Linked DNA regions of Neodiprion lecontei. The protein of the gene in region 3 interacts with the protein of the main gene of each other region in a biochemical or structural test. Links are inferred from orthologs where the notes say so. Each region holds a gene or a part of one and is shown on either strand. Other genes may lie near its edges. The genes, in order: tyrosine-protein phosphatase Lar, protein enabled and tyrosine-protein kinase Abl.

The links.
Region 1: of the proteins of tyrosine-protein kinase Abl (region 3) and tyrosine-protein phosphatase Lar, one has a biochemical effect on the other in vitro, tested with the Drosophila melanogaster proteins (2 studies listed by BioGRID, with this or other methods). The link is inferred for Neodiprion lecontei from reciprocal best matches to the Drosophila melanogaster genes Abl and Lar.
Region 2: of the proteins of tyrosine-protein kinase Abl (region 3) and protein enabled, one has a biochemical effect on the other in vitro, tested with the Drosophila melanogaster proteins (3 studies listed by BioGRID, with this or other methods). The link is inferred for Neodiprion lecontei from reciprocal best matches to the Drosophila melanogaster genes Abl and ena.

Annotation. Positions count from the first base shown.
Region 1 is NC_060261.1:27,255,328-27,261,956, reverse strand, and holds the start of tyrosine-protein phosphatase Lar, read left to right. Parts: upstream 1-2,317; 5' UTR 2,318-2,526; exon of another isoform or gene 2,527-2,805; intron 2,806-6,629. UniProt on the Drosophila melanogaster protein: Possible cell adhesion receptor. It possesses an intrinsic protein tyrosine phosphatase activity (PTPase). It controls motor axon guidance. In the developing eye, has a role in normal axonal targeting of the R7 photoreceptor, where it negatively regulates bdl.
Region 2 is NC_060264.1:29,524,382-29,530,911, forward strand, and holds the start of protein enabled, read left to right. Parts: upstream 1-2,920; 5' UTR 2,921-3,385; coding exon 3,386-3,438; intron 3,439-3,770; coding exon 3,771-4,092; intron 4,093-4,900; coding exon 4,901-5,070; intron 5,071-6,201; coding exon 6,202-6,456; intron 6,457-6,530. UniProt on the Drosophila melanogaster protein: Functions, together with Abl, trio and fra, in a complex signaling network that regulates axon guidance at the CNS midline. Required in part for robo-mediated repulsive axon guidance. May be involved in lamellipodial dynamics.
Region 3 is NC_060261.1:5,820,748-5,827,360, forward strand, and holds the start of tyrosine-protein kinase Abl, read left to right. Parts: upstream 1-2,747; 5' UTR 2,748-3,341; coding exon 3,342-3,468; intron 3,469-4,804; coding exon 4,805-4,958; intron 4,959-5,207; coding exon 5,208-5,317; intron 5,318-5,505; coding exon 5,506-5,804; intron 5,805-5,888; coding exon 5,889-6,030; intron 6,031-6,172; coding exon 6,173-6,303; intron 6,304-6,396; coding exon 6,397-6,613. Other genes in the region: BTB/POZ domain-containing protein 10, read right to left, coding at 499-624, 1,540-1,658. UniProt on the Drosophila melanogaster protein: Arm and Abl proteins function cooperatively at adherens junctions in both the CNS and epidermis; critical for embryonic epithelial morphogenesis regulating cell shape changes and cell migration.

The DNA.
Region 1 (6,629 bases), about 21 Mb from region 3:
TAGACGCTAGACACTTGCTCGCTGATAATTCAGACTTTAATAGCCAGCCGAAGTATAATCAATTATGTTTACACGGTACGCTAATGCTCGGTCATAATTTTCAAATTTTCACTGCTCGAACAATTATTCTTTCTGACGTTATCCAAGGCATGAATCATGACGCCTTTGCTGAACGGTTTCGAATCTACGTAAATGCGTAAATCATCGAATGCCGCAAATTTTCATCACAGAGATGACCGTAATTTCGCTCTTCTTATTAGTTTGAATAGCAATACATCTCACACCACGTTTGACTCGCGCGTATCTTAATAATAACTACGAGTGGAAAATCATCCTCAGGTAAGGTTTAACGTTTTGTCGCACTCATTTTTGTAAGTCATATTTTTTATGTGTAAGGGGTGTTCCGGGGGGTTTTCGGGGATGTTGGTCACGAATCTGAAATCAGAGCCATGGAATATAGGTGGTACATACATATGTGCCACCGTGCAGGAAAGGGATGAAGCTTAAAGTTCGAAGCTAACAGCTAAAAGCCGAATCTACATCATTTAAAATTTTTACCAGCATTTCAAAAATACCAATCATCTAGAAAAAGAAAAATCAATTTCGTACAAACACATATCACTGTTAGCAAAATTTAACCAAATATAATGTCCCAACAGATCCAGTTTATATTTCTGTTGGTAAATACGACAGAAGTTGTTGTAACTATAACACACAAATTATCATATCAACCTTTAATTTGTAAATTTGTTGCAATTTGTGTTTTTTATTTCGTTGAGTAATGTATTAAAAAGAGGTTAAATCAACCCAAAAATATTAGTGGACCTTCCGAGTCACTTTTTTCTAACCATGTAATCAGAAAATATAATTTTCTATTAAATATGAACATTATGATATCGTATACTACATTCTCGTGGCAAGATTTCTTAATTCAGCATTCTTAGCAACAAAATTATGTTTTTACTACGTATGTTCAACAAAGTTCCCTCCCCCTCGAAGCAGTCTGGAAATTACTTTTCCTAGGAAACCATTGTACATTCGTCCTGATAATCAATCATGAATAAAGATGAGATGGAAAGAGACAAGCTGGTTGATATATTAACAGTTGCAAGATTCTCTCACAGGAGTTGGAGCCGTGTCTCCAAAGTTTTTTTTTTTTTTATGGAAATATAAAGTATTATTGTACCTTACGCCATAAAAAAAAACTCGGTCAGACTTGCGAAATGGTTATATCAACATAGCCGAAACTTCTCGTTTTTCACCTATGCATAATTAACACTTTTCTTGCTGAGTTGAAAGCATCCGTGTTTGGAAGAAGTATTCGATTCAAGAGTCATTTGTAAAAACTCGAAAGAGCAAAATATCTGTACGGATTGTCCCGTAGCGAGACAAGTTGCGTTGGATATTTCATATTAAAAGTAATAAAAGAAAAAAAATTAAAAAGAATGGTTCGCATAATCGATCGAAATTTCCAACTTATCGCGCAGCAAAGAGTCTGCTCGATGACTGAAAAACTATTACTTCACCAACTGTGACAATTTTTATTATTTTTTTCTCGCTTCGAAAAACGATTTTCAAATATTCGCTGTACAATGTTTCTATATAAAGAAGAAAAAAAAAAAAGAAACAAACAAACAAAAATCCTCCATTTCCAACGAAATAACAACTATCTAGATTCCCCGCGTAGTACTATGTAAAATTCTCACAAATTCTTCAACGTCGTATCAAAACGTATCGTAAACACCTTAAACTGAGTCAGTCGTTACAGCTGTCAAGGTTGGTTTTACGATCACGAATAGTTGGATTTAGGGTATACATACACCTTTGACCAGGTATACTCTGAACTTGACTATCCTTGCGAAACTCCGAAGCTCTACCTTATACATATACATGCCCGGCAAAGATTGGCGGCGTATTGTAAAATGTACAAACGTCTGACCCCATCCTCATGCATATCCTTCCACGGGTATCCGTAGACGCTCAAGGGTTGTAAACCGAGCATGGTCACACGTCCAGTCATCTACGCTCTTCAGACATGTCGTATGCCGCGAGGGGGGGGGGGGGGGGATGACGATGAGGGGGAAAGAGTGCGCGACGACCCTTCAGCCCTTAACCTCCCCCCTCCCCCCCTGCTCCAGCGCCACCCTCTAACCTCCCCCTCCGCCCCTCACCCGTTACCCACATCAGGAATATAACATGCAGTGAAGAGAACTTGACGGGGAGCCGTGAGGGGGGGTGGAGGGTGCGACGAAGGCGTCTGCGCGGAAGCCGTAGCCGTTAGAGGGTTGATTTTGGCTCAGTCAGACCCTGACTTTTGGAAGGGGTGCTGCGCGTTCGCGAGGAGATAAAGTCAACGTGCGTTTCTTCGATTGCTCGTACCGATCTCGTTGGAATCGCCAACGTCAGCATTATTCGAGGGTTGTTTTCCCGACCTTGATACGACCCCGTTCGACGATTATCGGCTCACGCTGTGCGAAAGCTGTTCGAGAGGGGATCGAGCCTGTTTGATTCAGGGCACCCGCTGAGGTTAGGAATCGTAGAGAATAAGAGGGTTTTTCAGGTGCCCAAGAAACGAAGGAAAAAGAATTTTTCTCATATCTGTCTACAAGTGCGTTTTTGTGTAATCAGTTAGTTAGTTGAATTTGTGATTGTTGGTTGTTGTGCTGATTGTATAGTCAACGCGCTGACGCACCGTCTAGGATATTACACGTATTTGTGAAAAGTGATTACTTACGCTCGTCGAGGTATTGAGCTTCGGAAACATGTGCTGATTTTTTAAAGGATTCCACCCAACCGCCGGCATTGGTGAGTGGCGATTTACGATAATTCTTTCTTTTTTTTTTTCTTCGCTTCCAAGTCGTTGTTGCGTTGTACTTTTGAGAATTCTTAACGGTTGGGCTTATCGATCCCACGTGTCACGGCTCGCTGGACTTTCGCGTTACTTCAAAACTACTGCCTGAATATGCAGGAGGTTGCCTAATCGCCTTACGCGGTCCGACTTGGCCACTCGCTGATCGTTTGTGTAGTACAGTTGATCCTTTCAGAAGTGAGCTTAGCTACGATTCTGCAACTTTCTCGAAGTATAACGTGACTTCGTGAAGTTTACTTTCTCACACATCAAACAAGCGTGAGACCCTTCTCGAATCAAAAATTTCAATCCAATTAAACTCTACCATCTAATCTTGCGCTCCAAATTTTTCGCGATCGGTAAGATTGAGTGCTCGGAGAGCTACGGTCCGAAGGTAACAAATCGACCGTGAGAACAATGAACCAAGAGTACACTTAGCGTTTTTATAGTCTGATTTGAGTTTTAATATGGGCTAATTGCGGTGCTCAAGTTCATTAACTTCGAAGGGAACTTGTACAATTCATCTCGAGTCACTGCGGGCCGTTGTGTATACCTATACCTGAAATTAAGTGCGAGAACAAAAGAAGAGAAAGAGGGAAAAAATGAAAGGTAAGAAGATGGGAAAAAGTTGAAAAGATACGATAAAGTACTCGCTTACCGTGATATTATCGAACTCGTGGAAAAGCCTACACGTACTGCGAGGATCCGTTCGTGCGGTATGATGGTGTATCACCATATATATCTACGTGTGCACCACCGTTTACGTATACTTATGGGGCAGAAATCCTACTTCATATTTAACTCGTGCACGATGTGTATGATGGATTCCGCGCCAACTCAACTCGTCCTGCACCTCCACCATGTTCGGTTCCTGCTTCCAATTAGCACGTTGCGAAACATATCAAAAAGACAGCTTGCGCAAGCTTTCAGACTTGCCTAACGGTTGATTATTGATTTAGAGGCACATCTGTTTGTAAACAGGAGCACTTTGTATGAAATTTATGCAGTGGATTGTCTGAATGTGGACGATGTTTCAGACCTTTGTTGGTTCGGTTCAAGTTGGTCAGACCTTTCCTTGATCCCATTTCAAAGTGGCAAACGTTTGAATTTTCAAATACTCTCGATCTCATGAAGATCGTTCATCGATCTTTGTAATGTAATTTCATTCCGTTGAAATTTCGTTTGACACATTTTTTCAAGACCTTCAATGATCAATGAGTCGGTGATACGAGCTTTTGTAATTCGGATTCGAGATACATCGTTAAATTTGACGATACATGAAAACGGTACACTGTACTTATCTCAACGATGTTTCAATAAGCATTTTATAAAATACCCAAGACTGTGTTTTGCCTCAAGTTGTTTTATCTAATCACTGAACTTCATTGTTCAGAATATCTTCCAACCCAACTGTTAGACCCTTGTTGGTGGTAAAAGATTGAGAAGAACGGCAGCGTTTCAAAGCATCAAATCAATCATCAACAACCAGATATCGAAGAAATCTGAAACACTTCCGGATGCTTCTCGGATAACCCGCGGCTTACAAATAGGAAGAAGAAATCTGAGATGGCGTGTTTCAGCGGCGGATCGGCGAGTTGGCTTGGAATCCTCCATGTACATGCTTATCCGCGAATTCGCACGAGGCAAGACAAATCGTTACACTTTTATGCAGAGCTGCGGCATGACGGGGCTGCAGGTCAGAGGGGTACGGATGCACTTGTGTTAGACTTACATCCAGTGCTTGATGCACACACACAAACATACATTGTATGCGAGAAGTTCTACTGAATTTTATGGCTTTGAGGTAGAAGAGCCGCAGAAGCGGCGAGGCCGCATAGCTTTAGTGTGAGAGTTCGTTTAAGTATACTTAATGGCTCTTTTCCTCAACTTATTAAGCCGGTTCCGTTGGTATAATTTCGTGAAATATCTGTCGAGGACACGGGGGTTGGGCGCGTGTGTCGGTGTCGTTGTCCGGAAGGCCGGAACAGCTTGAGATATACGAAGGTGCCCGCCTAGCTTCGAAATAGTTTCTCTGCGGCGAGCGAGTTTACGACAAATGATTACTACGTGCAGCGCTGCGCGGTGAGGGGTGCTCTTATGGCTGTATGTTAAGCAGCGCGAAATAAAATTCACATCAACTATAAAACTTGCGAGCACCAATTGCGAGAGAGGATGAAAACCGCGCGGCCGAGTTGACTTGAAGGTAATTTTGCGAGGGTTTACCTTCGCACAAAAGACGACACGGTGTCAGCCTGAGAATGAAACGCTTACGAAATACCGAACTTGACTGAGGAATTTTATTTATTCGATTTCCCCGCCACTTTTTTCTTTGTCTTTCGCAAATTGTTTTACACGGGAATAACAGCCACCCTCAAGTATTTTCCAAGATAAACAGCATCACTCGACTCCCCTCTAAGAATTCCCCATCGTGAGCTTACGCAATTTCTGTTTGGTTCTCCATTATTTTTAAATATTTCTAGCCGTAAAAGTGTAGAATTTATGTAGTTGTAATTGTATTGGTAACCTTTTTCGTTTTCGACTTTATACGGGATGGCCGTAAACTAGTTCAAAATAATTACAACACCGATTGTCCAAGATTACTGTCCGTGTGGTAGTCCAAGTAAACGTGAACAAGGTTTGACCCTGAGCCCCACCGAATGGGTCGCAGATTTATTTTCTATTTCTACACTGTCAAATATACATTTTCTAATGTTAGTAGATTTTTTCCACGTGCCCTTTAGGAGTAGGTATTTTAGATCTCATCTTTCATAACTCGAAAACTGTACATTTGGAAGAAAAATTATTAAGAGGAAAATATCGTGATTCTTTCTGAATTGGTTGAAAATAATTTCTTCAAAATTGTCTGTAAATCGTAATTCAAATTTTTCAAGATCGCAGTTTTGCAGAAAAATCGATTTTTGTGCGCCTTTCGTTGAAAACGATGACTTACGACTTCCGGAAAATTCTGAAATAATTATTTTAGTGCGTATTGCGAAATCGCTGAAAAATAACGAAGTTCGATCTTTCCGATTTCAATGAACAATTACTTGGCGACGCGACGCATTAAAAATCTCAATTTCAAATCATTGGAGTGAGTTCCAAACAGGCGTCAAAATTTTCCACGAGGCTGGAATGGTTTTCAGTTTAAATTGATGTGAACAATTGACAGTTAAAAATTGAGAAAAAGTATGAGTTTCTGTATATTTTAAATACCCGATCAAATTATATTCAGAAATACTTGACTTTTTAACACGGTTTTTTTGTTTCGATACTCCATTAAATTGCAATTAAGATTCTTTTTGCATTCTCGATCAATGCCTTAATCGCACCATTATTCTTGTAAAGAAACCATACACTTACTAACTTTCGACAATAATTGAGTATTTTTATCGTATATAGTGTTATGAAATGTAATTCGTTATTTAGCAACGCGAGACTCGCTGAACATAATAATTACAATAACGATCTACTAAATCCTTGTTACATTGACGTTCGATGCAACGACGTCTATCACGAACACCTCTCTCTCTCTCTCTCTAAAACGTCACTGAGGCTTCCAGATTCAACAGTGACAGTTACCGAGTAATTCGAAGATTATTGCAAATAACAGTGATAGGACGTTTTCTGTGAATAAACACCTATTTGTGGCTGAATCACAGTGTCGTTCAACTGATTTATAGCTCAAAATAAAAATAACTTTAGTGCCACGTTATTTTATACTCTAACCAACTGCGTAATTTTTATATTATCGAATATTGAATGGACTTTATCCCGCTACTCT
Region 2 (6,530 bases), on a different chromosome or scaffold from region 3:
GCTTTTCTCTCACTTTTTGAACGTCCCGAATACGGGTAGTAGTTTGCTCATTTAGAGCTTAAGCGTTGAGGGAATATTCGGGGAATTCAGTTTTGTGGAATAGAATTAAATTTTTTAAAGTCTGGAATGGGGTGGGGGACAAAAGAGTCAGGTTATACGAATGTGTCTGATAAAAAATAATAATAATTATCAGCCACGTTATCGTCAGCAGCAGCAACAGCAGCAGAAGTTGTTTACTTTCTAACGATATCTAGAAAATGTTAACCGTCACCGTGGGGTTAGAGAGAATTCCAAGGAATTTCATGCACTCGTCGTGAGCTTGTTCAATCCAGAGTCCTAATCTCGAGTCCTAAGTCGAGTGGCCGGGCGTTAGAGTTGCAACCCAATGGCAAGGAGAGAAGGTGTACGCTAAGAGAAATTTTCTTATTCCGGTTACCGCTCAGTCCTTGACTATTTTCATTTTTTACCACAATCGAAAAATATAGTTCCAGGTAGAAAATGAAAATTAGTTTTCTAGTATCCGTTGCTATTCTTTCTCATTACGATCGCTGTTGCTAGATTTTCTTGCAACTGTTGCGAAAATTTAACGCTCGTGCAACGATAAATTGACGTTAAAGCCTTGTTCAACTTAAAAAAGTAGAGTAAACCTCGGAAACTGATTTTGCGTTGCAATAACCAAAAAAGGATCGACGATAGCGCAAAATGTTTAGGCGTACCTCGTTTTTCGTAATTCCAACGATATTCAAACAGTTTTTTTTTAACGATACCGGTTTTACTGAATTTCTCTAGTTACTGTAACAAATGAAATTATTCTCAGTGTAGAGTTTCACGGTTATAGGTATAAAGAAGCAAGGAACCGTGCCTTGCACCATGCACACCATCTAGATCCGGGTATTCGCGTAACGCGGAAGAAGGATGCGAGAAGTTGAAACGTGATAGCGATCCGTCGTCGTCTCGTGATCTGCAAGTATAAACCTGAGAATCACGCTCTTGTTTTGCATTCTGTTAAGCTGCGGTACGCGGAACCTCCGGACGATGGTTTCTCCGGATGACCGGAAGTGTGGAGAGAAAACCCTTCCCGCCGATCGATTTCCAAAGCACCGATTACGATTGTCGGCATCGCGATCAACCTCCGTTAATCAGTAATCGCGTTAATCGTCCGTGTAATTGAGAAGGTCATCGGCGACTATTCATGTTTCTTCGCTGCAGGCACACGTGTCTGACTTTCGTTTCACTCGGTCGATAATGTCGGATGCTATCAAATGTGGCAATTGTACCAAGTCAATGTTACGAGTTTGGGAATCTAGTGGTGTGGTGTAGATTAAAGATCATCCATTCGTATTTGCAGCAACAGTTTCAAGCGGTAACAGGAACAACGCATTGTTTTTCTGCACCATTCCTACAGCAATGATGATGGGATTTTTTTAATACTCCTTTTCGGATGTTTTCGCGAATCTGCCAGCTATGAAGCGAGAATGGTTAAAAATACCCTGGAATATGTGTCACGTAGGATAGGAAATGCGCGCACGATTGTTGTTATCAGGAGGAATGTGTACTGCAGCCGGAAGTGGTCGGCAACATCCTGCAGTGAAACATTTCATCCGGAGACTTCAGTCTGAACAATCAAGTTGTCCGAAGCGTTGGACGTTACGGGATCACCGCAGATCATAACGTCTTGAAGGACCAGAACCGGGTTCGCGAATATCTGTCGGAAGTTGGAAAGACATAACGTGATCGGTGAACTTCTTTCTCCTTGGGATTCGTGACAGTGTTTCATTTGTGTAGTGCAGAAAGTTTTTTTTTTAACGACTTCGGTATTAACCCGAGATACGGTTTCTTATGATTTTTATCGAAAGCTGAAAAATATTAGACTGTCAAGGAGAAGCGGAACGGTGGTAAAAGATATGCAGTTCGCTCGATTGAATTTCATTCCTAGTATCCTACGTAACCGTCATGGTGGCGATGTATTTACGATACTCGACATATCGGCTGATATATTATCAGATGTTATGTAACGATATTCTTCAATAAATTTTAGTTTGTTCAACAACGGCGTAACTCTTCTACTGCGATTTATATACTTCATTTCACAATACTCAAGGGCAAAAAAGTTTCTTCGTAGAAACCATTTTTTATCACCCTTGTTCCAAGGAGAATCGAATCCGCAACCCGAGGAGAAAAAAGGTTAAGGGATTCAGGGGACGAGTATGAGTTGACTTTGACGTATGGGGATAAAATGTATATATACGTGTTCAGTCGTGTGGAATAAAGAACATTTTTTATCGAAATTATTCGTCCGAGTTGCGATGTCGGTCCGATTTCAATTGCCAGGACTACTAACTTTTTAAGAGACAAGAGAACGTCGAAAATATACCGTCGCCAAAGATATTTCAACTTTATTTGTAAAGTTATTTCTGAAAGAAGATCACATCGTTAGCGAATGAAATTAGATGAAAAAAAAAATCGAAATCAAACCAATACTATCAGGTACTCGTTTAACCGCAATGAATCATTCTGAGCGAATTTCATCCCAAAAATTTATCAAACTCCTCGTAGATTTCAGGAATAGACTTTGACAGTCGTTCGTTTTGCTGGAAATCAATTCTGTATCTAATCGAAAAAAAAATTCCTTAAAATTTTTTTTTCCACTTTACCTCAACTTTGCCGATGTCTTACGATATTTAAACAATGAATTGTGGTTAGGAAAACTGAATCGAGCCTCTTCTCCGATCCTTAAACAATACCTAGATATTTTTTGTTGCGATTTTTAGAACAAATCGTCGAAGCAGGATATCGCTTTTTTGGAACTGGAAAACCGTTATTCGATTCTGCCGCGGTGTGACGAATTAGGGTTAACGTGTAATTTTACACCGCAAGGACGAGGCAATTATTTACCGGAAAAAGTTGTTCGTTTTTCAGTGATGTATCGCTGAAAAGAAGTTTGAGAATGCTCGAACACTGCTCATTATCGTCGATGATAAAACTTTCCGGGTAGCGGTGTGAAAAAGGGTGCTCACCACGAAACAACGAGGGCAACATGCTGCAGACGTAATTGAATCCCCGCGTTTTCCCCGTTTCGCAAAAGTCAACCGATACCCCGGAGGCACAGCAGAGGCAACACCGTAAAGCGAATCCTTGAAAGACTCGCGCAGTGAGGTGTCACGAAAATGGCATCGTTTACCTGCAAAGCTGGCGGGGAGCTTGCGGCGATGAAGTAATCGTCTTAGCCGGCTTCCTCCTTCGGACAGTGTTGTAAAAATAAACAAGGTGACAGGGTGACTTCCTCTGTCCTTGGCTCGGGCCAACTCCTAACGGTACCCCGGAACAAGGGTAAAGTACAACCCAAGGACGACACGTACCCTTCATCGGCAAGACCATCGCCGACATGACAACCGCTAATCACAAACGTTGGTCCGACTGGAATACCTACTGGGCATGGTATTGAATGCTAACTAATTCCATTCGCTTCCAAGCCGTTTGTTACCGTCTGTTCCATTTCTGTTTTCGGCTCGCCCCTAAGCCAACGCACACGTGGCAGCGTCTCTAATGACGAATAACAATGATCTCTTACCACTTGGCGAGTATGGTGGATCTTTGCATCGAATCTCACTTCCGAAACACGCGATGTTCCTACGTCATATTACCGAATCCGTGTCACAATGTCGATGAATCCATTATTGTTCCATTTATCGTTTATCGACATACCGACTTCGTTCTGGTACTTGGTGTGTACCGTACTTAACGAAACAATGTCATTATCCATTTCGCAGTGAGGTAAGCATATCATCAGCACGGGCGTCGGTGATGGTGTACGACGACGTGAACAAGAAATGGGTGCCGAGCGGAAGTTCGTCCGGCTTATCGAAGGTGCAGCTGTACCATCACCAGGTGAACAACACCTTCAGAGTGGTCGGTCGGAAGCTCCAGGACCATGAGATAGTGATAAACTGCGCTATCCTCAAAGGACTGAAGTACAATCAGGCTACGGTTACGTTTCACCAATGGCGGGACAACAAACAAGTTTACGGGCTGAACTTCTCGAGTAAAGATGACGCCGACGCTTTCGCCAAGGCCATGCTGCAGGCCCTCGACGTAAGTGTTGTGTATACTTTTTATTTCCCTCTTTCTGTCTCTTCGCCGAGTCGAAATTCTTTCTTTTATCAACCATTCCCGTCTTGGAACTATGCACCTTGGAGAAAGGTCCCCGTATCTTTTCACTTCTTGTATTATATATTACACTTGTTTACCCTGCGGAGATGATATGCGGACGTCAAAAATGGGGCGGCTTTCTTACCTTTATACGTATACTATCTTCGATATACTTTACACAGCTGTACCTGGAGAGATACGGATATGTATTGAATTACTTCATTGTCAGGCTGGTCGCACACGAAATCAACCGGACGCTTGCGTGGGAGAAAGAAAAGAAGATAAAGAGAAAGAAAGAGAGGGAGAGAGAGAGAGAGAAGGCAACGTGCAGAGTGCATCGAGCCACATGCCGTGTAATTGGATAACTTCTCCCGGCCACACGAATATTATATCCGATGCAAAAAATTACGTCAACGCGTCAGCCTTCGCTTTTTCACTCCAATAATTCACAAACGAGATTCAACTCGGTTATTAAGACCATTTACCAAAACCCTGACTCGAATATATCAGTCGCTCCATTTCCCGAATCTGACTCACTGCGTGAGGTTATGCAGTTTTTTTTTCCTCCTTACCTTTCGTTACAGATCAACGACGATTATCCAATAACCGTGACAATTGGCAGTGTCTATCAATTTAGAAACCTTTAACTTTATAATGAAGTAAATTGAGCTCGCGGCGTATTATGATACATCAGTAGCCATTGAAAGATCGAACTTTAACCCGTACTAATCCGTCTGAATTTTCATCCCAGGTCCTCAGCAACGGCAGCAATATCTCGAGGAGTTTGGGTCCGGCAGTCGCTTCCACAGCACCGGCGAATTACCAGCAACAGCAACAGTCCCAACAACAACAACAACAGCAACAACAACAGCAACAGCCTCTTGGTATCACCCAGCAGTACGAAGAGGACATGGGATACAGGTCAGTCCCTAGATTCGTTTTTCTTATCCAATTTTACTTGATTTTTTTTTTTGCGGTTTTACCTTTCACCTCGATTCACGTTCTGGGTTCCATTTCTCGAGTGCTCTCTTTGTCCCCGATGTTTTCATTTCTGTCCAATACGTGACGGGAGTATGTTATCTGCAATAATATGGTAAACAGGATAAGACGACGATTACGGCGTTTCAGGACGATTCGAGAACCCGAATAGCGGCACTTTGCCAACGATTATATGTAAATGTTCCTGCAAGGATCCATCGACTCAGATTTCTGAAGAGGACTAATAGACCCTGACTATTCTTAAACTCACAGTGTACATACCTGCTCCGTCTCTTTCATTCTTGTCACTATATAATTTATGACTGGTATAATATTAGTAGAACCATATTATTAGAAATACCGAACATGAGGTAAGGAGGCTCTTTGGGTGCTAATTAGCTGCTAATTACGTGCTATTTTGAAAAATGCGATGCATAATTTTACTCGAATGATACTTCGGTTATATTGTACATTGCTTTGACGGGATTCTCCGAAATAAATTGAATAAGGAAAAATTTACGGCATTGTTTAGACCGCAGGTGCAATTCCAAAGTCCCTGAACTCTGCAGGACATATGCTCCGTGCAATCAGGCCGCCTGGAAACTTTGATCGAGTTACTCATTATTCCAACTGACTAAATGACACCTGGTAATTGAATAAATCACTCCGTGTCGCCTGCGAACAAGAGGATAACTGAGTATAAATCGCGACAATTAAGTTACTGCGTATTGAATTAACGAATTAATTTAACGAAACAGTTGGATAGATAAAGATAATATATCTACTGCGAAGAAGTGACTTAATAGCAGCGATGACAAGTGTCTATAAATAGATGGATAACCGAATCAATGCAGGATAAGGAGACAACTCACGATCAACTGTATCTTGTATGCTCAGTCAAGATAACAACTGACAAAGTACAATCCAGATAACCGAAATGACTGTAGAAATAACTTCATCGATGTAGAAACTACTGAGAATGAGTTACCAACCGTTTGAATGCCTCAATGATCCCATGCAAATAGCAGGTACCTACTTATCGTCACTGGTCAATGATGTGTTGGGTGCTTCCAGTCAGAGTCAGAGTCAAAGCCAAAGCCAGGCCCAAAGCGGATCTGGTCCCGTTCAGGGGGGCCTGGGGATGGTAGGAAGCATAGGGAGCGTAGGGAGCGTGTCGAGAGTTTCCTTGTCCCTGGGGCACCTCGGTGGAAGCCCTGCCCCCCCATCGGCAACCGCCGCTCCGATAGCGAGCGGCATCACAACCGTCATTCAGGTCGGGGGTGGAGTTGCGAGTCGGGGATCACCGGCTGATCGCGAGAACGTCATGAGGTGACTTACGACTGCCGGATATCATTGTCTCTGCTTACATCCATGTTATAGATATGCGGTATAACATGTAAAGC
Region 3 (6,613 bases):
GTGCCAAGAATAAATTTTGCTACTCGTTATAACGTCAAACGATACTCAGTAAATATTCGTTTGTACACCCATTTAAACAAGTCATCAATCCTCTATTTTAATCTGATCTTGCTAATATACTTCAGAAAACAATCAAATATTAAATTATTTTCTACAGCTAATAGCGTGCTTAATGTTATTCACTTGCTTGTTTCTACCATAGACACATTATTCTTGTTCAGAAAAAGATTTATTATAGTAGATAATTTATATTCATTCTGAACAAATAACGTACGAACATGCAGAGAATTCTAAAGCTACAATTAAACTACTATCTTCTATGTAATAATAACATCAATACTCAACGACGTGTACAATATTTTTTATTTACTTTGAACATTCTCTTTACGACCTCACATCATATTAAGAGAACAATTTATAGCTTAGGAAATTTTGATACGTTTACTACGTCGTATCATTATTCAGACCGTTTATCTTTAGTATCAGAATCCAACCTACCCAAATCTGTTCTTGTATACGCGGTGGCGACCGCGGCTATCCGTTTCCTTGTAGTCTGTCTCTGTATCGCTGCTACTATCTTGCACATAACTTAAACGATCTCCAGGATTTGACATGTCAGGCCAGCTAGTAGAATGATGAAAGAAAAAAACCAGAAAAATATTCATTAATCACTGACTGTAAAATACTTTAAAGTTTTACGACAATGAGCTACATGACTAGGTGATCTGAATGAAGACGGCAAATCTGAATTTGCATGATTTCCGAGCGGGATGAAAAATTTACAGTATAGAAAAATCTTACAGTGAAATTGATGTTTTATCCATTGAGAAAGAGATATGAAGAAACAGGATTCCAAGGTGACCTTGTCAACTTAGCAATGAAATAACAAGTAAACTACTCCGCGTTTATTTAGTTGCCTTGAACACTTTGTAAAAATATTCTTCTTTTAGAAATTTCAATGTTTGATGAACAATTATAAACGATGCATGAAAAGTTTGGACAACGTTATGCTTTCAAGTCAAACTTGACTGCGGTAATAATAAGAGAATACAGAAGCTGTGGCGTGTCTCGAGTCTCAAAATAAATTGAAGTAAGTTCATTTGCCAAAAGTAATCACGTATCATCGTACTTGCATACGTATATTCAAGACTTTATATTAATAGATCACAGGATCATCACAAAGGTAATGAAATGTTATACAACACTTCACTCGACAACAGAGAAGCATGCCTTGCTTGTACGACGCAGTCGTATTATTGATAAGTGAGATGACGAATCGTACGAGTAACAACCTATAATAACAGTAAAACGTGCCACTCCCTATTTTTTATCTTTCTTTCTTCGTAATCCTAATTTCTTTTATTCACAACGGTTGGAAATCTCGTGGGGAGAAATAAGGAAAATATGTTGACAAGAACATAGATCCAACGATTTTTGTTGGAATCCCTTGAATAGAGTACAGCTAGCATTGTTGGGACTATGAAGTTTAGTTACTGAGAAATACTAGAGGTCTGGTTGTTGTGTGTATAATGTACTTACGAATGATAAAATGGTAAATACCACTCTATTTTCTCCAATAGCCACTTTAATGAGGAGCAAATTTGAACGCTGCAAAAGTAAAACCTAACCTGTCTAGTTTTTTTTACAGTAAATCGCATTCCAAACCAACGGTTAATACCCTTAAAGGTTGTCTGATATTTCTCAATTACCTGATAGACTAGGCCATTTGTTATGGTTTTTTCTGCAATAACTTTATTCTTGTCTGTTCTACGGATCCCGAAACTTCGGCAGACAAAGGTACATATGTTCGGAAGGAGATGCAGAAACAATTACTAGCCGTGACTAAGTTAGTGTTTTTTTTTTTTTTTGGTTTTTCTTTCTTTTATTATACTTTTCTCATTACGAACAGAACGCACAGGTAGAATGATAATTAATATCAAATTGACAATATTTTTTCTTTTTTTGTTTTTCCTAACTCCGTCTGTCACTCCTAATAAATAAACTGTATTCTCGTGTCATATGAATCACTTAAATCGAACTTACGGCACTCTTTTGGCCCGTATTGACGTGCCAATGATTATTTTAACGACAGTCTACTGGCTCAAAAAGACAACATGGTATTAACATTTGATTTGGAACTGTCAAAGAACTCCCCGTTAGCAACTAAGGACTATTTCACGGTCTATACCGGACGGGGTTCAATGGTTGGTCAGGAGAAATCCCTTTGGCTGAAACTTGGAGCATATACTACTGGAGGGAGCTACCTATTCCATCGACCTCGCGATAGTTGCAGCCCGAGTAATGAGAGAGACAGGTTATAACCAACATACACCTCTCTCTCTCACTCCTTTGCTGCACTTTCTGTGTACGCTAACCAGTAGTATGACATACTCTAAGGGCTGAAAGGACTTAAATCAGACAGGCGCGCAGACGCGGGGAATTCTCGAAGCTGGGCAAAGATACCGATGTAGTTATGTAGTGTACTCTTAGCATTTTCTGAATTAGAAGGAATAAATTCTAGGTATGTAACATACATAGATGCGTACATACGTCGTCGATTTATTTCGACGGTAAACCGTGATTGGAGTAATAACAATTCTTCGGAGTGTAAAATCGATTACGATTTCGGTCATTAAACCCTCAACGCATCAATCGATAGCGTTAAAATTTGTCGACTCCTCATTGGTCGAACTTGGTACGTCGACCGGCTCGCTTTTGGCTCCTCAGTCGCTTTGTCGCCCCATCTGGAGAGGGTCGAATGCTCGGATGAAATAAAAAACTGGCGACTGGGATGGCAGTCTTTTCTCGTACTACTACTGCACATCGTATCGTGATTATATCTGTATTAAAATGAAAGTAATTTTTATTGTTGCCAGTAATGCGAGATTTGCTGTTCAATATTTTGTCAGCGTGTTTGATCCCGTGTAGAGAATCGATACCGCTTATCGTATATGCAAAGTCGACTGCTTCAACCCTGGTTTTGATTAATCCGAGTTCTATCTCATTCATAACAACATATCGAAGCAGTTGCACATTTTACTCCCTGGCTGCACCACCTCCACTTCGTCACCGTGCTGCCCCGCATTAATGCACTGACAAACTAAATAATCGACGTCAAAGCTGTCAAACATGGCGAACGGTCTGTGATATCTAATTGACATGTAAAAATGTGAGCGAGCACGGGGAGGAAGCAGTTCGCGGTTCAGTTCTTGTTTAAACTATTCACAAACTCCCGTATAATGTAAATGTATCAAGTGCTCCTGGAGGTTGATGCGCGAAGCAGTTGACCTCGGCGTACTTTCAGCCGGGGCAGAATATAAGGGTATGTTAAACGAGGAACTATGGGTGCTCAACAGACTAAGGATAGAGTGATTCCCACCGGGTCTGCCGTACGACAAACTCGGAAACAGCCCAGAAACCCGAAGGAATCCAGGCTCATTGGATCGAACATTTTTACGGAACACAGCGGTAAGCTGATCTCCATTTTCATTGTAAGACTCTACCCCTCCCTTTTTCCTGTTTTAACAGTTTCATTTTTCTTCTCATTTCATTCAATCGCACTTCCTACACGCACTCATTGTTACTCTTTCCTTCTTTTTTCCTTACCTTTTCCGTTTTCATTGACAACCTTCATCTCATCACAACGTTATGTACTAATATCACACATTGCATAAGTCCAATTTCGAATACAATTATTTTATCCATTTGTTTGCCAAATGAAACATGGAATAGAGACTCGCAATGAAGTTCCTCGCAGATAAAATCACATCGATACAGAATGAATTCATCTCTGATTTACTGCTATTATTTCATTATAGTCAATTCAGAGCCAATGTAATTGTACAAATTTCGATATTATCTTCCATTCCTCGACACAGTGTGTTAATTTATGTCCACCTTCGAATTTCCTTATTCGGGTTTATTTACACAGAATTAAATTTTTCAATCGAACTTCTATACTTATAAGAATTTTATATTAATGGAATCGATTACTTGGAAAAAAAAATGTACTCATTTGTTACAATGGAATTTAGTTTGTCGTACACAGCTATATTTAATACAACATGAAGCAAAACAAACGAGAAACGGCGTGAATCGTGTTATATGACTTCCTTTTGCAGTTATTTTTAACTCTGTGTTCGATATTTCTTTATCAAAGTTTTTTGATTCTGATTAATAAAATTTGCAATGCAACGATTATAAATAGAATATTCTTTATTATCAGTGAACAGTAGCTGTTCATTTCCTGCAACTAGTTCTAATGTATGTGGTCCGAATAATCAGTAATGAATTCTTTAATTGCATTTGTCCGTGTCGCAGATCATTTCTTTTAAAGTTGAATTTATCGGAACAAAATTACAGTAGATTTTGCCCTTAATTCTGAGCTGCACAAATTTTTTGAGAAGCAGTATTTAATTCTTATTCAGGAACAAATTGTGCCGAACTATAATATGTCCTTGTTAGAATGATCAGTTTATTATAAGACTGTTGGAAAACAAACAAAATCGAACAAAGTTCAGATCTTTTCAAACCATTGGAAAGTTAGAGAAACGGGAATATTCACAAATTACAAACTTGCAATATAGCATCAATATCCTTTACAAAATGCATTTTCTTTGTTTTATAACTGAAAATATGTAATTAATGATATCATTCATTTATCGTTTGAGTCTATGTATACTTGCATTGAAAAAAAGGCGGTTAAATTCATTTGACTTCTGTTATTCAATTACTCATACCGATATTCTAGATCTAACGTTGCTTGTCTTGAGGCAAGATGTGACTGATGATCATACATTTTCAGAGGCATTACTACAGAGTAGACCTCTACCTCATATACCAGCCTTACCTGAAGGAGATCCACCTAGCAGTTCAAGTTCTCAATCACTTTCCCAACAGTCCAGCCTGCAGCAGCATAGTAGCGTCACTACTACAGGACTTCTGGAAGCTGCTAATCGGTAAAATATATTGCAAATTATAATTTCATTATATTGTTCCCAATGCAATAGAACATAATATGAGGAAATATTATATTAACCAAAATTTGGATATTTCAATTCATGGGCTTAATTTCATTTGAATAGAACATATTTTCAAATAATTTTCAAATTTAAAACAATCATCACCCAGCCCTAAAAAATGACGAGTTGCCATATGTGCTTCGATGAACATAATATGAGAAACTGTTTACTTACCCTTGATTGTAGATGGACAAGCAAAGAAAATCTTCTGGCTCAAGAAGAAGATGATCCGCAATTATTTGTAGCGTTATATGACTTCCAAGCTGGTGGTGAAAATCAACTTAGCCTTAAAAAAGGTAATTTCTGGGATTTTTTTCCATTCCATCTACAGTATCAATTATTTCTTCACTTGGGTACTATAATCTCGTCACTGCATACATTATACTCTTGACTTGAGGAGATTTAATTTAATTTCAAATTGTAGTTTCAAAATGAAAAAAAAAAAATGTATTCTGAAGTTACTATTGGAAATATATTTATATAGGGGAACAAGTTCGTATATCAAGTTACAACAAGAGTGGAGAATGGTGCGAAGCCCACTCCAGTACAGGCCAAGTTGGCTGGGTTCCTTCAAATTACGTAACCCCCGTGAATTCGCTGGAAAAACATTCGTGGTACCATGGGCGAATATCAAGAAATGCTGCAGAGTATCTGCTCAGTTCGGGTATAAACGGAAGTTTCTTAGTTAGAGAATCAGAGAGCAGTCCTGGGCAACGAAGTATTTCATTACGATATGAAGGGCGCGTTTATCATTACAGAATAAATGAAGACAGTGAAGGAAAGGTCGGTAATGACTCTAGTATAATAACATATCTCGTAGACATCATCTTATGGTAAATTCAAATTTCAAACAAACTACTGTTCTAGATGTTTGTTACAACGGAGAGTAAATTCAATACGTTAGCTGAGTTAGTTCATCATCATTCCATGCTGGCCGATGGTCTGATTACTCAGCTACTTTATCCAGCCCCCAAGCGCAACAAACCTACCGTTTTCCCACTAAGTCCAGGTAAGATACGAAGGAACGGGTTAAAGTATCTTCAATTATTACTAACAAAGTTATCCAAGTCATTGGTTATGTGTGAGCGTAATCTATAAACATTTGGATTCGTACTATGACAAACTCTAATTGCTATTTGTAAAAATTTTAGAACCAGACGAGTGGGAAATTAATCGGACAGACATAGTAATGAAGCATAAATTAGGCGGGGGCCAATATGGCGATGTATACGAGGCATTATGGAAAAGATATAACATGACAGTCGCAGTGAAAACGCTGAAGGTGAGATGCAAAGTGCTTTATCACTGCGTTGTTACTTTTAGTAAAATTTTGTAATATTTCCATAACGTAAAACACACTTTTGCCATTCTCCAGGAGGACACAATGGCATTGAAAGACTTTTTGGAAGAAGCGGCGATAATGAAAGAGATGAAACATCGAAACTTGGTACAGTTGATAGGCGTCTGTACGCGAGAGCCCCCATTTTATATAATTACTGAATTTATGAGCAAGGGAAACCTTCTCGACTATTTACGAAACGAGAGTAAACACCAAATCAATGCTGTTGCCCTAATGCACATGGCTACACAGA